Linked DNA regions of Cricetulus griseus. The protein of the gene in region 3 purifies or fractionates together with the protein of the main gene of each other region. This does not show direct contact. Links are inferred from orthologs where the notes say so. Each region holds a gene or a part of one and is shown on either strand. Other genes may lie near its edges.

Region 1 (3,653 bases), about 210 Mb from region 3:
AAGACAGCCAAGGCTACACAAAGAAACCTGGCCTCCAAAAAAAAAAAAAAACAAGCAAGCAAGCAAACAAACAAATAGAAAAGAAAGGTGGGGGGTGGGGAGAAAACAAAAGAGTTGTCTTTATTATAATTATTCTTTCTATTTAGTTTTAAATGTATTTGTCAGCTATTTTTCAATTTCAAGTGCAGTTGCCCTTGTCTTTACTTTTTATGAGCCTTCTTGTGAAATTTACTCAGCCTCAATATGTATTTGATGACTATTTTTTTTCTTATGTCTCTTGTGATTGTTACATTTTTTAAAAGATTTTATTATTTATTATGTATACAACATTCTGCTTCCATGTATATCTGCACACCAGAAGAGGGCACCAGATCTCATAACGGATGGTTGTGAGCCTCCATGTGGTTGCTGGGAATTGAACTCAGGACCTCTGGAAGAGCAGTCAGTGCTCTTAACCTCTGAGCCATCTCTCCATCCCATTGTTACAGTTTTTGAAACAGACTCTTACAGTGTAGCTCATGTTGGCCTTGAGCTCATGGTCCTTCTGCCTCATCTTCCCAAGTGCTGGCCTTGTAGACATGTCCCAATCCTTATAATTTCTTTATTGTGACTTATTTTTTTTTATTTGAATATTCTTAGACAGTTTAGTGATTAATGTGTGTTGCTATTGCTACCCATCAATAGTATAAAATTATAGACTTATCTATTTATTTGTTTTCATTTTTCTTTAGCTACTCAACAAACCAGAAAATTGTTGTGGACTTAAAGAAAGCCAGATACTTTCTTTACTGTGTGACATAGGTATGTAACTAATATTAAAATATCATTGTGATTTAATTAATGCCTCTTTGGTCCACAAAAACTTCTGTGTACTTCTTAGAAGTTACAGAGAACTGTGTGTATACTCTACAAAGCATGTAGGTTTTTAACATTTATAAAAAATGAGGAAAAACAAAATCTCTGGGCAGTGGTGGCACACAACTTTAATCCCAGTAACTCAGGAGGTAGAGGCAGGTGGATGTCTGTGAGTTCAAGGCCAACCTGGTCTACAGAATGAGGTCCAGGGCAGCTAGAGGTGTACAGAGAAACCCTGTCTCAAAAAACCAACCAAAAAAAAAAAAAAAGAAAGAAAAGAAAGAAGAAAAAAGAAAGAAAGAAAAAGAAAAGAAAAACCCATTTCTAATATTAATTAAAACTAATAGACTTTTGGCATTTGTTTCTATTTGGGGTTTCTCTTTGTTGTTTGTTTTTTGGTTATGTATCCTTGTCCGATAGATGTTCCAATGATAACAAAAATGATATGAAATAGCAATCATTTCATCCCCTCTCACAACTCCCCCAACACTCTCATAGTAGTTTTGTTTATAATGGAATCATATCTTTTGGTGGATAGGTCCTCAAGTTGTCCTGGGATGAAAGTCTCTTTTTAATCAGAAATCCTACTGGTAAACCCTAAAGTAACTATGATTTAAACCTTTGAGAGACCTGAGTCTCCTTGTGTCAGCGGTTGCTGCTCTTCCTAGGTCACAGGCAGCAGAGTCTAAAAATGTGATTTAGGTTGGAGGAAAAGTCTATAGGCTTACAGGTATTTCTTAAAATTTAATTGTTTCATTTGCTTTTAATGTTGATTTGACTAAATTAAATGAGTATACAATTTTTCAGTGTTTATTTGATGATACATTTGGTGAGGAAAATATGAACTGCTCTAATGTTGGTGATGCAGCAGTGATGGATCATTTCAGTGTGTGGGGGTGTGTGTTGTTAAATGTATAGTACATGGGTGTGAACATTGGCCACACTCACAGGAGCATGCATGTGGAGGCCAGAGCAGCATGTCATGTTCTGTTTCTCTGCACTTGATTGTTTTCAGACAGGGTCTCTGACTGAACCGGAAGCTCCACATTTGGGCTAGGCTGGCCTCAGCCAGCTCCTGAGATCTGCCTCTCTCCTCTCAACTCCTCTAGGGTTATTGTTGCACACAGCCTTGCTTGGCTTTTTATGTGGGTGGTGGGGATTTGACTCGGGTCCTCCTGCGTTCAGCGCACTGACCTTTACCCACTGAGCCGTCTCCAAGCCTATGGACATAGAAATTTGTGCATCATTGTAATCTTTGTAAAGTGAGGTGAAAACTGAATGTGGCTGGACATGGTGGCACCCACCTTTAATTCTAACACTAGGGAGGGGAGGCAGATGGATCTCTGTGAGTTTAAGACTAGCAGGCCAATCAGGGCTACATAGTGAGACCCTGTCTAAAAAATGATGAGTGTTGGGGAATCCACTAGAGTCCCTTTAAAGGGGTATAAAGGATTTCTTAGGATACACTTAGGCAAAGAGCCGAAGTGGTCCTCTCTTCTGCCCTGGGGTGAATGGAACCAGCAGTCTGATCTCTGACTACCACATGAGATAAAGCAAGCAACAACCCCCTTCCTTTTAAGAGGTCACGTGGACAGACAACATGCACAGCCTCTATCTAGCCAGACAGCCCAAGGTCATGGGCGGAGCCAATACTCACTACAGCTGAGTGTGCTGGTGCACACCTGCAGTCCCAGCACTTGGGAGCCAATACTCACTACAGCTGAGTGTGCTGGAACACACCTGCAGTCCCAGCACCTTGGAGCCAATACTCACTACAGCTGAGTGTGCTGGTGCACACCTGCAATCCCAGCACTTGGGAGCCAATAATCACTACAGCTGAGTGTGCTGGTACACACCTGCAGTCCCAGCACCTTGGAGCCAATACTCACTACAGCTGAGTGTGCTGGTGCACACCTGCAGTCCCAGCACTTGGGAGGTAGAACGAGCAGATTAGAAATTGGAGGTCATTCTCAGCTGTATAGGGAATTCCACACCAGACAGGGCTATATGAGACACTGTCTCAAAAACACTAACAGTAAAAACAAAGTGTGATCTGATTTTCCAAATGGTATTTCATAATACATTTGAAATTTTATTTAGGATCTGGAATTCGATATTTGCATGAAAACAAAATCATACATCGAGATCTGAAACCTGAAAATATAGTTCTTCATGATGTTGGTGGGAAGGTAGGTGAAGCCTGAAGACTGTTTCATGCTTGTTGTTCTAGTCTTCCTGATATATTGTCTTTAGAGATTTTAGTGTCCTTATTTATTCTATAGACATAGTACTTTATAGGTTTTCTATGTAGCCCTCACTGTATGGAATTGTGGGGCCTTTTTAATTTTAGATTTATTACTATTGTTATTGTTGTTATATTTTATATATGTGTGTACCACATGTGGTGTTTTTGGGGGGCACAAGAAGAGAACATCAAATTCCCTGGGACTAGAATTACAAATCGTTGTGAGCCACAGTGTGGGAGTTTAGAGTTGAACTCAGGTCTTCTTCAAGAACAACAGGTGCCCTTAACTGCTTAACCCACTCTCCAGGCCTGAACTGTAGTTTATGGTTAGATTTTTGTCTTCTCTGCAGAACAATGGCTCCTTAGAGAAGCATCTGTCTTGCTCATCTCTGGATTAGGAATGTTGATCTAATTGTATAGGAAACTGCCAGAGATTAACTAACGTGATCAAGATTATACAGTTAGCTAAGCCCATTACCTGACATCTATAATCCCAGCAATGGCAGGAGGGTTGCTGTAATTTGATACCATCTTGGGTTACAGTGGAGACCTA
Region 2 (3,653 bases), on a different chromosome or scaffold from region 3:
ATGTCTCTGTGTTTACACGTATGTGTAAACACACAGAAATATGAAAAAATATTTAGCCAAGATTTAACTCAGCCAGGTGTTGGTGGCGCACGCCTTTAATCCCAGCACTCGGGAGGCAGAGGCAGGCGGATCTCTGTGAGTTTGAGGCCAGTCTGGTCTCCAGAGTGAGTGCCAGGATAGGCTCCAAAGCTACACAGAGAAACCCTGTCTCGAAAAACAAAAAAAAAAAAAAAAAAAAAGATTTAACTTTTCATGTAAAAATAGAAGCATACATATTTCATTAATCATATTAATATATAAATTTAATATCTATGTATTTAATATCTGTCTTTAATAAGATCTAATACTTGTCTTTAATGGTAAAACTATATACACCAAAAAATTTAAAAATGAATAAATTTCTTTATAATTTATTATCAGTAGATGTTTTATTTATATACTTTGTTTATATATACTTCATATACTTTTATATATTTATATATACTTTATATAGTCTATATTTACATATCTGGGGTAATATGAACATTTCTTGGGCACAAAGTTATCCCAAATGCAAGATTTTGTTTTTGTTTTTGTTTTTTGTTTTTTGTTTTTGAGACAGGGTCTCACTATGTAGTCCTGGATGCTGACTGTCCTGGATACTCACTATGGAGACTAGGCTGGCCTTGAGCTCACAGAGATCCTCTTGCCTCTGCCTCTCCCTCCCCAGTGCTGGGATTAAAGGTGTGCTTTATCATGCTGGGCTCCAAGCAGAAGTTTTAAGTAGCCCTGGTCTGGACCCTGAGCTGCTTGCTGATTTAAGAGCATCTAATGGATATGTACATGCCAATGTTCAAAATCCTCCTGCTGTCCCACACTAGGCTCCTGTGCTCCACCCTGCCCACTTAGGCTCCATGCTGCTTCCACACTGCCCCCTTAGGGGCAACCCCGTGTGCCTCTATAATCCTCCCTGTTGAACCAGCTCTCCTTCATCTGTCCATGTCTTCTCTAACTCTTCCCATCCCTCCTCCCTGCAACTATAGCACAGCCAATGTTACTCCACACTGCTGTAATCCATAGGGCTCCCTCCCCTGTCCCCAAATATGTGAGTAAAGTCACCAACCTGGAGTTTTCTTTTATATTATGACCCAATTCTGATTCACTAATTAAGTGCTTATATTCTAGCTCTAAGCCTAGACCACAGTGCCATTCAAACCTTAAAGGTTTGTTTGTTTAGGCCAGACAAGGAACACAAAGAGGAATAAGGTATAATCCCTACCCTTAAATGACTTCCTGTGGAATAAGACAAACTCTATGCTGAAGTGGATATACTTCAAAGTAGATATCTGTCATAGTTTCAGCTGCCAATGTCAAACCCAGGGTCACCCGGGAAAAGGGAACCTTAAATGAACTGCCTTGAAAAGGTTGGCTGGTAGCCATATCTATGAGCCATTTTCTTACTTGTTAATTGATACAGTGGGGGTTATGGGGGCTAGCCTACTGTGGGCAGTGCCATTCCCTAAACAGGGGGACCTGGGCTGTATAAGAAAGCAGGTTGAGTTGGGGGTGGCGGTACACACCTTTAATTCCAGCACTCAGGAGGCAGAGGCAAGAAGATCTTTGAGTTTAAGGACAGTCTGGTCTACAAAGTGAGTTCCAGGACAGCTAGGGCTATACACCTGAAGGGAGGGGAGGAGAGAGAGAGAGACAGAGAGAGAGAGAGACAGAGAGAGAGAGACAGAGAGAGAGACAGAGAGAGAGAGACAGAGACAGAGACAGACAGAGACAGACAGCTAGGGCTATAAACCCTGAAGGGAGGGGAGGAGAGAGAGAGAGAGAGAGAGAGAGAGAGAGAGAGAGAGAGAGAGAGAGAGAGAGAGTGCAGGCTGAGTAAGCCAGAGGGAACAAGGGAATAAGCAGTATCCTCCATGGTTCTGTTTCAGTTTCTACTCTGGGTTCCTGCTTTGAGTTCTTGTCTTAGCTTCCCTTGAAAACAATAAGATATACAAGTAAATTGCTATGTGAATTTAGCAAAGAGATGGTTTGGGAATGAAGCTCACTGGTAGAGCACTTGCACTGCATAAATGAAGACATGGATTTCATCTCCATAGCAAAAACCAACCAACCAATTAACAACAAAAAGATTCTAGGGAGACCAGATACAAGAATCCATTCTATGTCTGAAGTTGATCTGGATTGGTCAAGTGCTCAATCATAGGATGGTATTCTGTTATCCATTCAAACGTTATCAAAGGGTCTGAAGATAGCTCGGTGGTTAACAGCACTGGCTGCTCTTGCCTAGGACCTAGGTTTGGTTCCCATGATCCACACATGGCAGCTCACAACTGTCTACAACTCCAGTTTCAGGGGATCTGATCCCTCTTCTGGCTTCCACAGGTACCAGTCTCTCAAGCATATACAACTAAAACAAACAAATGTATCAGATGTCACCTCAAACCTGTATTTCTAAAGAGAAGAAAAATAAACAGGACACGAATGCCCGGTGGCCATACCTGTTAAGATTATTGGGGAAGGGTAAAGAGCTGGAAAACTTCACTGTTCCATTCAAATCTTCACTGACAACAATGTCCACTTCACTCTTCTGCCGGACTTTGGAATGCCTGTAAATGCCATTTTAAGATGTCCTTTATGTCACTCAGTGGCAAATACCCAGTTTACATCTGTAACCTCACTTTACAACTGCATACTTGTTGAAATAACGGTGAGTATGCCGACAGGTTTGTGAATGGTCTGTGTGGTTAGGGGTTTAGCTCAGCGGCAGTGAGTCCCCTTAGCATGAAATAAAACACAGTATGTGTCTGGTGCTGCCTAAACAGAGGTGAAAGGACACCTCCAGCAAGGCCACTCATCAGCTCGTGTCCCAGTTCTACAGGCAGCACTGTTGACCTCTGTCTCACCTTGATTATTGCTTTTACCCTTCTTTACCTCATCTTTACCCTCATAAAGAAGGGTAGATTATTGCATCTACCCTTCTTTAACCTCATTTTAAAAGACTTATTTTCAACTACACGTGTGTGTGGACAGACATGTGACTTCTGTGAGCTGCCTGATGTGGGTACTGAGAATCAAACCCAGGTCCTCTGGAAGAGCAGCCAGTGCTCTTAACCTCTGAGCCATCTCTCATGTTTTGGTAAAGGATAAAACCAGGGTTCTGAACTAGTGTCACTTTGTACACATCACATTTATTTGAAATGTAAAATATACACACATGTACATGGCTACATTTTTAAAATTACATCTATTTATTTGCACACATATGTGTGTGCTCATGTACATGTATGCACACCCTCCTCTCTGTGGCATGCATGCCTGGGGCATCAGAGGACAACTTAAGGGAACTGGTTCTCTCCTCCTACGGCTGGGGCTCCAGAGACAGAACTCAGGTTGTCAAGCTTGGTGACATGTGCCTCTACCAATTAGCTACCAAGTAAGGTAAGGGAGGCCCACACTTCCCTTTACAAGTATGTGGCTAAGCATTTTTTCTAGAATAAATGATCTTCATATTTCCCAATGGAGGGACTTTCCAAAGGTATTTGAGGGAGTGCTGGAAAGGGAAAAATTGAATCCAAGCGCATTCTAAACTTCTTGGTAACGAGGACAACTTAAATTGGAATAGTGCTTTATAAAATGACCAAATATTCTGCCAGAGTTCC
Region 3 (4,129 bases):
CTCCTCCTCCTCCTCTTCTTCCTCCTCCTCCTCCTCCTCCTCCTCCCTCCAGCAAGTCCAATTTGTTGTATTCTCCATATACATTGGTATGCAGACATCCACTGGACCCTGGTCAACCTACCAGGAGTCAACCTTTAAGGAAAACTGACTTACTCTCCCTCAGAAGCCACCAACTGTCACTAGCTCCCTAATTTGGGGTTGGGCACTCATGAGCTCCTATGAAGGGAGGAAGAGATTTTTATGGTTCGGTTAAAAAACAAATGATAGATTGAGTTCTTTGAAAATGAATGATGATCTTATTTATCATAGTCTTTAAGCTTCCCTATTAAATTATTCCCTTTCACTACAACCATTTTCCAAGCTCAGCAAGGGGCAAGCATCCAGGAGTCAGCCACTAGGTTAAGAATTACCTAAAAAGCAGACCAGAACTAAGAATCCTGTTGTTCTAGTTCCATTTCTGTTGCTGTGATAAAATACCCTGACAAGAAGCGTCTTGGGCGAGAAAGAGTTTACTTGGGTTGAAATCCCAGCTCACAGTCTATCACCAAGGAGGATGTCAAGCCAGGAACTCAAGCAGCAGCTAGTCATAGCACAACCACAATTGAAAGCAGGGAGAATTACATTCTTGCAAGCCTACTGGCTTGATTACCTGCTTTTGACTAATTTTCTCCTCTCTTACACTCACCTGCCTAGGGAATGGTGCCACCCAAATGGACTAGATATTCCTACATCAATTAACAGTCAAGATAATTCCACAAAGACTGCCCACAGGTCAAGATAATCTAGGTAACTTCTCATTAAGATGCTCTTCCTGGGTGACTCTAGACTGTGTCAAGTTGACAGTTAAAACTAACCAGCATGCCTGTCTGTGTGTGAACAGTGAGGGCTGCTGTTTTCAAAGGGTCCCAAGGTGACAGCACTGTTTCTGGTTTGCTCCCATTCCTCCATCTTATCATGAAAAATGCAAACTCATACCCTAAATATGGAAACCTGCTTAAATTCTGGAGAAGGAATCTTTTAGTTAGGTAATATCTAGAGTGACTTCTTTTCAGAACATAACCTGAAAAACAAAAGAAAACAAAACAAATATCCGAAGTCCATTGGCCAATCTGTTGGAAAAAGTTTTGTTCGTTTTCTGACAGGGTGTCTTGATCCATGTGGCTAATGAGATCAAGTTCAAAAGCAAGGCCAAAAGAAGAGGAAGGAGAAAAAAGAAAAAGAAAGTAAGTAAGTAAGGAAGGAAGAAAGAAAGAAAGAGGAAGAAAGAGAGGAAGATTGGCAGGAGGCAAATGTCAGTGAGACCTGAAGCTGGAAACAGGACCAGATCCACAAGACACATTAAGTCAAAAGCAGCTTTGAAAAAACCCAGCCATTTTACACTTCAAAGATGTCTGTGACATTTGAAAGGGTTTAGGTGGAAGCAAGAGGCATTTTCACTTTTAAGACAGTAGAGAACTCTGGGTAGAAGAGAAACCAAGGGCATCCAGACAGTCTCCCAGGCTTTGATGCAGTCGGAGCAGCTAGAGAGATGAAATGAGCATGAAGAGAGATGGGGGTGGGGGAACACAGCATGATAAAAATTTGGAACTGCAGAATTCAGAATTTCCAGCACCTAGCTAGAGGCTCTCCGTGTGTGCCTCAGTTTCCTCTTGTATCCACCAATTCTCCCAGTCTCTGACAGAGACTCTTTTAGGGGAACTCCTTTGAGAATAATGTTCACTTCCCTGGCTCCTTTCTCCTCTTGCCATACTTTTTATCTCTTTAGCCGTCACTGCTAGTCATCACACTGTAGCTTTGCTTATCACCTGTCTTCCTCTGCAAGACTAGAAAGCCTGAAGGGAGACTTTGTAAATACTTTAGTGTGTTTTTCTGTCTGCTCAAGCCCCAGGGTCCTCATAGTGGCTCTCCATAAGAGTGTGTGTGTGTGTGTGTGTGTGTGTGTGTGTGTGTGTGTGTGTGTGTGTGTGTGAGTAAATGAACTGAGACACATTCTTTATAGTTACCCGTCTGTATATAGGAATATAGAGCAAGGTAGCGAGCCTGGGAAGGTCTTGGAATAAATAGCTTCATATCTTTCCTTTGGAAGAGACTTAAAAATATTGGAATTAAGAGGTATGGATCAAGAGGGAGCTAGAGGGCATAATCACCAAGAGATTCCTTACCCAATGGGATTGTTTTGGCAGAGCTATCTAAACCAACAAAAACAGTCTTGGGTACAGGAGCCAAATTTTCTCCTCATCATGAATTGGGTATATATAGTCAGAGTTAATAATAGAAATATTCTTTTATTCATGGAGAATGATAGCAGATTCCTTCCTTCCTCTCTCAGCTGAGGCAATGATACAACAAGCAGTCTTTGGAGTTGATCCCAAGATCTAGGATTAGACAAGCTTTACCTGTAGTCATTGAAAACAGTTGAGTTATTAGTACAAATAATACTTAATATACTCAACCTCCTAGATTCCTTCTCCTTTAGCCCCCTGATCTAATTCCCCCAACTTAATATTCTCCTTATCTTTGTTTATGTGAAAAAAATGGCACAGTGAAATAGATCTGGTCAGAACCGTAACTAAACCTGGGTTCTTAAGAAAGTATTTGGTCTTTGTTGGGTACTAGTGTCCTAAAATGTGAAATTCAGTTCTGTCAATTGTCCTGCAAGGTCATGGAGGGTCTTGTCTCCCACATGATTGTCTAGCCTAGCCACCTCTCCCTCCTCATTCTCCCCAACCCTGATCCCAATTAACTTACCTGATTCCACATACTCTTTGACAAGCACAGCGCAGTAGGGGTTCACGGCCTCGCCCTGACAAGACTGGCAGGTACCACAGTCAAAATTGGATAAACCAATTCGAAGAAATGGTGACATGGTTGTTCCCTAGAAATATGACAAAAGACAAATGCTGTATTTAAGGAGCCCTAAGATGCATTATTTTTAGCGTTCCATCTCCACTTAGTGTTTTATCTTGGACAGCCAGCACTTCCAATGGGCCTGCTATCCATCTGAACAAAAGTGTTTATTTCCTTCTCTGAGAAGCATATTGCTGGATCCCCCCTGAACTGGCTTGCAGAGAAAGAGCTCTTTGGAAAGTCTGTGGCTAACCTCCACAGTGAGAACTAAGGGTTAATCCTGCACAGCAAGGCAAACATTTTCCAACTTTTTGTTACTTCAAGTAGATGCCCCAAACACAGTAACCGGTCTATTTTAGTCACACCAGTTAATATGACACCACAACATTCTTAACGTAGTCTATTTATGTGTGTCATGGAATTGGCTTTCAGCAGTTAGCAGCTGATCCCTATTTATTTTGGATATTTTCAATATGGTTTGCTCTTGTCAGAGACAAACACATGCTCAAACAGACACAAGCAATTAAGCTACTTAAATGTTATAAGCCACTTTAAGAACCTCCAAACCATTGACCCCTGTACGATTATGTCTCATCCTAAAGTCAAAGTACCTCATCAAAGCCAGAGGTCTTATTATGTTTCCTCAGAGCTTTAAATGGAAATTATCACAGTTCTGGCTACATGTTTCAACAGTTGGCGTTACTCTTTCTTTTTAATTTTGAGAGATTTATTATTTTTATTTGCGCATGTGTCAGTGTGTCTGTGACTATGTGTGAATACATGCACATAGCCAAGGAAGCCAGAAGCCAGAGCTGGAGTCATTCAGTGTGAGTGCTGGGAACTCACCTCTGGTCCTCCCTCCACAAGAGCAGCATATGCTCTTTCCCACTGAGCCATCTCACGAGCACCCTAAGCCTGAATCTTCATTTGCAGCTCCATCTCTGCTTGCTCAGCTGTTTACTTCAACCAAACACCTTTTCCTCTATAGTTATTTTCTTGCATGTATACATGTGTGTGAGGGATGGGCATGTATGTGTATATACATGTTTATATGTATGTGGGTACATGTACTTGTGTGTACCTGTGTGTGTGTGTGTGTGTGTGTGTGTGTGTGTGTGTAGGCCTGGAGTTGAAATGGAGTGTCTATCTTGACTGCTCTACACTTTTTTGTTGAGAGAGGGTCGCTGGCTCAACCCAGAGCTCATGAATTCCTATAACTCTAGTTGGCCAGCTTGTCTCAGGCTCTCTATCTCTGACTCTTGAGTGTTGGGATTACAGGCAA

Evidence for each region.
Region 1: the proteins of Prkcq (region 3) and Chuk purify together in Homo sapiens (affinity purification with western blotting, with the first as the bait; 3 studies listed by BioGRID). This does not show direct contact. The link is inferred for Cricetulus griseus from reciprocal best matches to the Homo sapiens genes PRKCQ and CHUK.
Region 2: the proteins of Prkcq (region 3) and Ikbkb purify together in Homo sapiens (affinity purification with western blotting; 4 studies listed by BioGRID). This does not show direct contact. The link is inferred for Cricetulus griseus from reciprocal best matches to the Homo sapiens genes PRKCQ and IKBKB.

What each region holds. Positions count from the first base shown.
Region 1 is NC_048596.1:17,451,667-17,455,319, forward strand, and holds part of Chuk (inhibitor of nuclear factor kappa-B kinase subunit alpha), read left to right. Parts: intron 1-731; coding exon 732-801; intron 802-2,955; coding exon 2,956-3,044; intron 3,045-3,653.
Region 2 is NW_023276807.1:61,017,879-61,021,531, reverse strand, and holds part of Ikbkb (inhibitor of nuclear factor kappa-B kinase subunit beta), read right to left. Parts: intron 2,601-3,653; coding exon 2,493-2,600; intron 1-2,492.
Region 3 is NC_048596.1:228,004,209-228,008,337, reverse strand, and holds the start of Prkcq (protein kinase C theta type), read right to left. Parts: upstream 2,867-4,129; coding exon 2,749-2,866; intron 1-2,748. UniProt on the Homo sapiens protein: Calcium-independent, phospholipid- and diacylglycerol (DAG)-dependent serine/threonine-protein kinase that mediates non-redundant functions in T-cell receptor (TCR) signaling, including T-cells activation, proliferation, differentiation and survival, by mediating activation of multiple transcription factors such as NF-kappa-B, JUN, NFATC1 and NFATC2.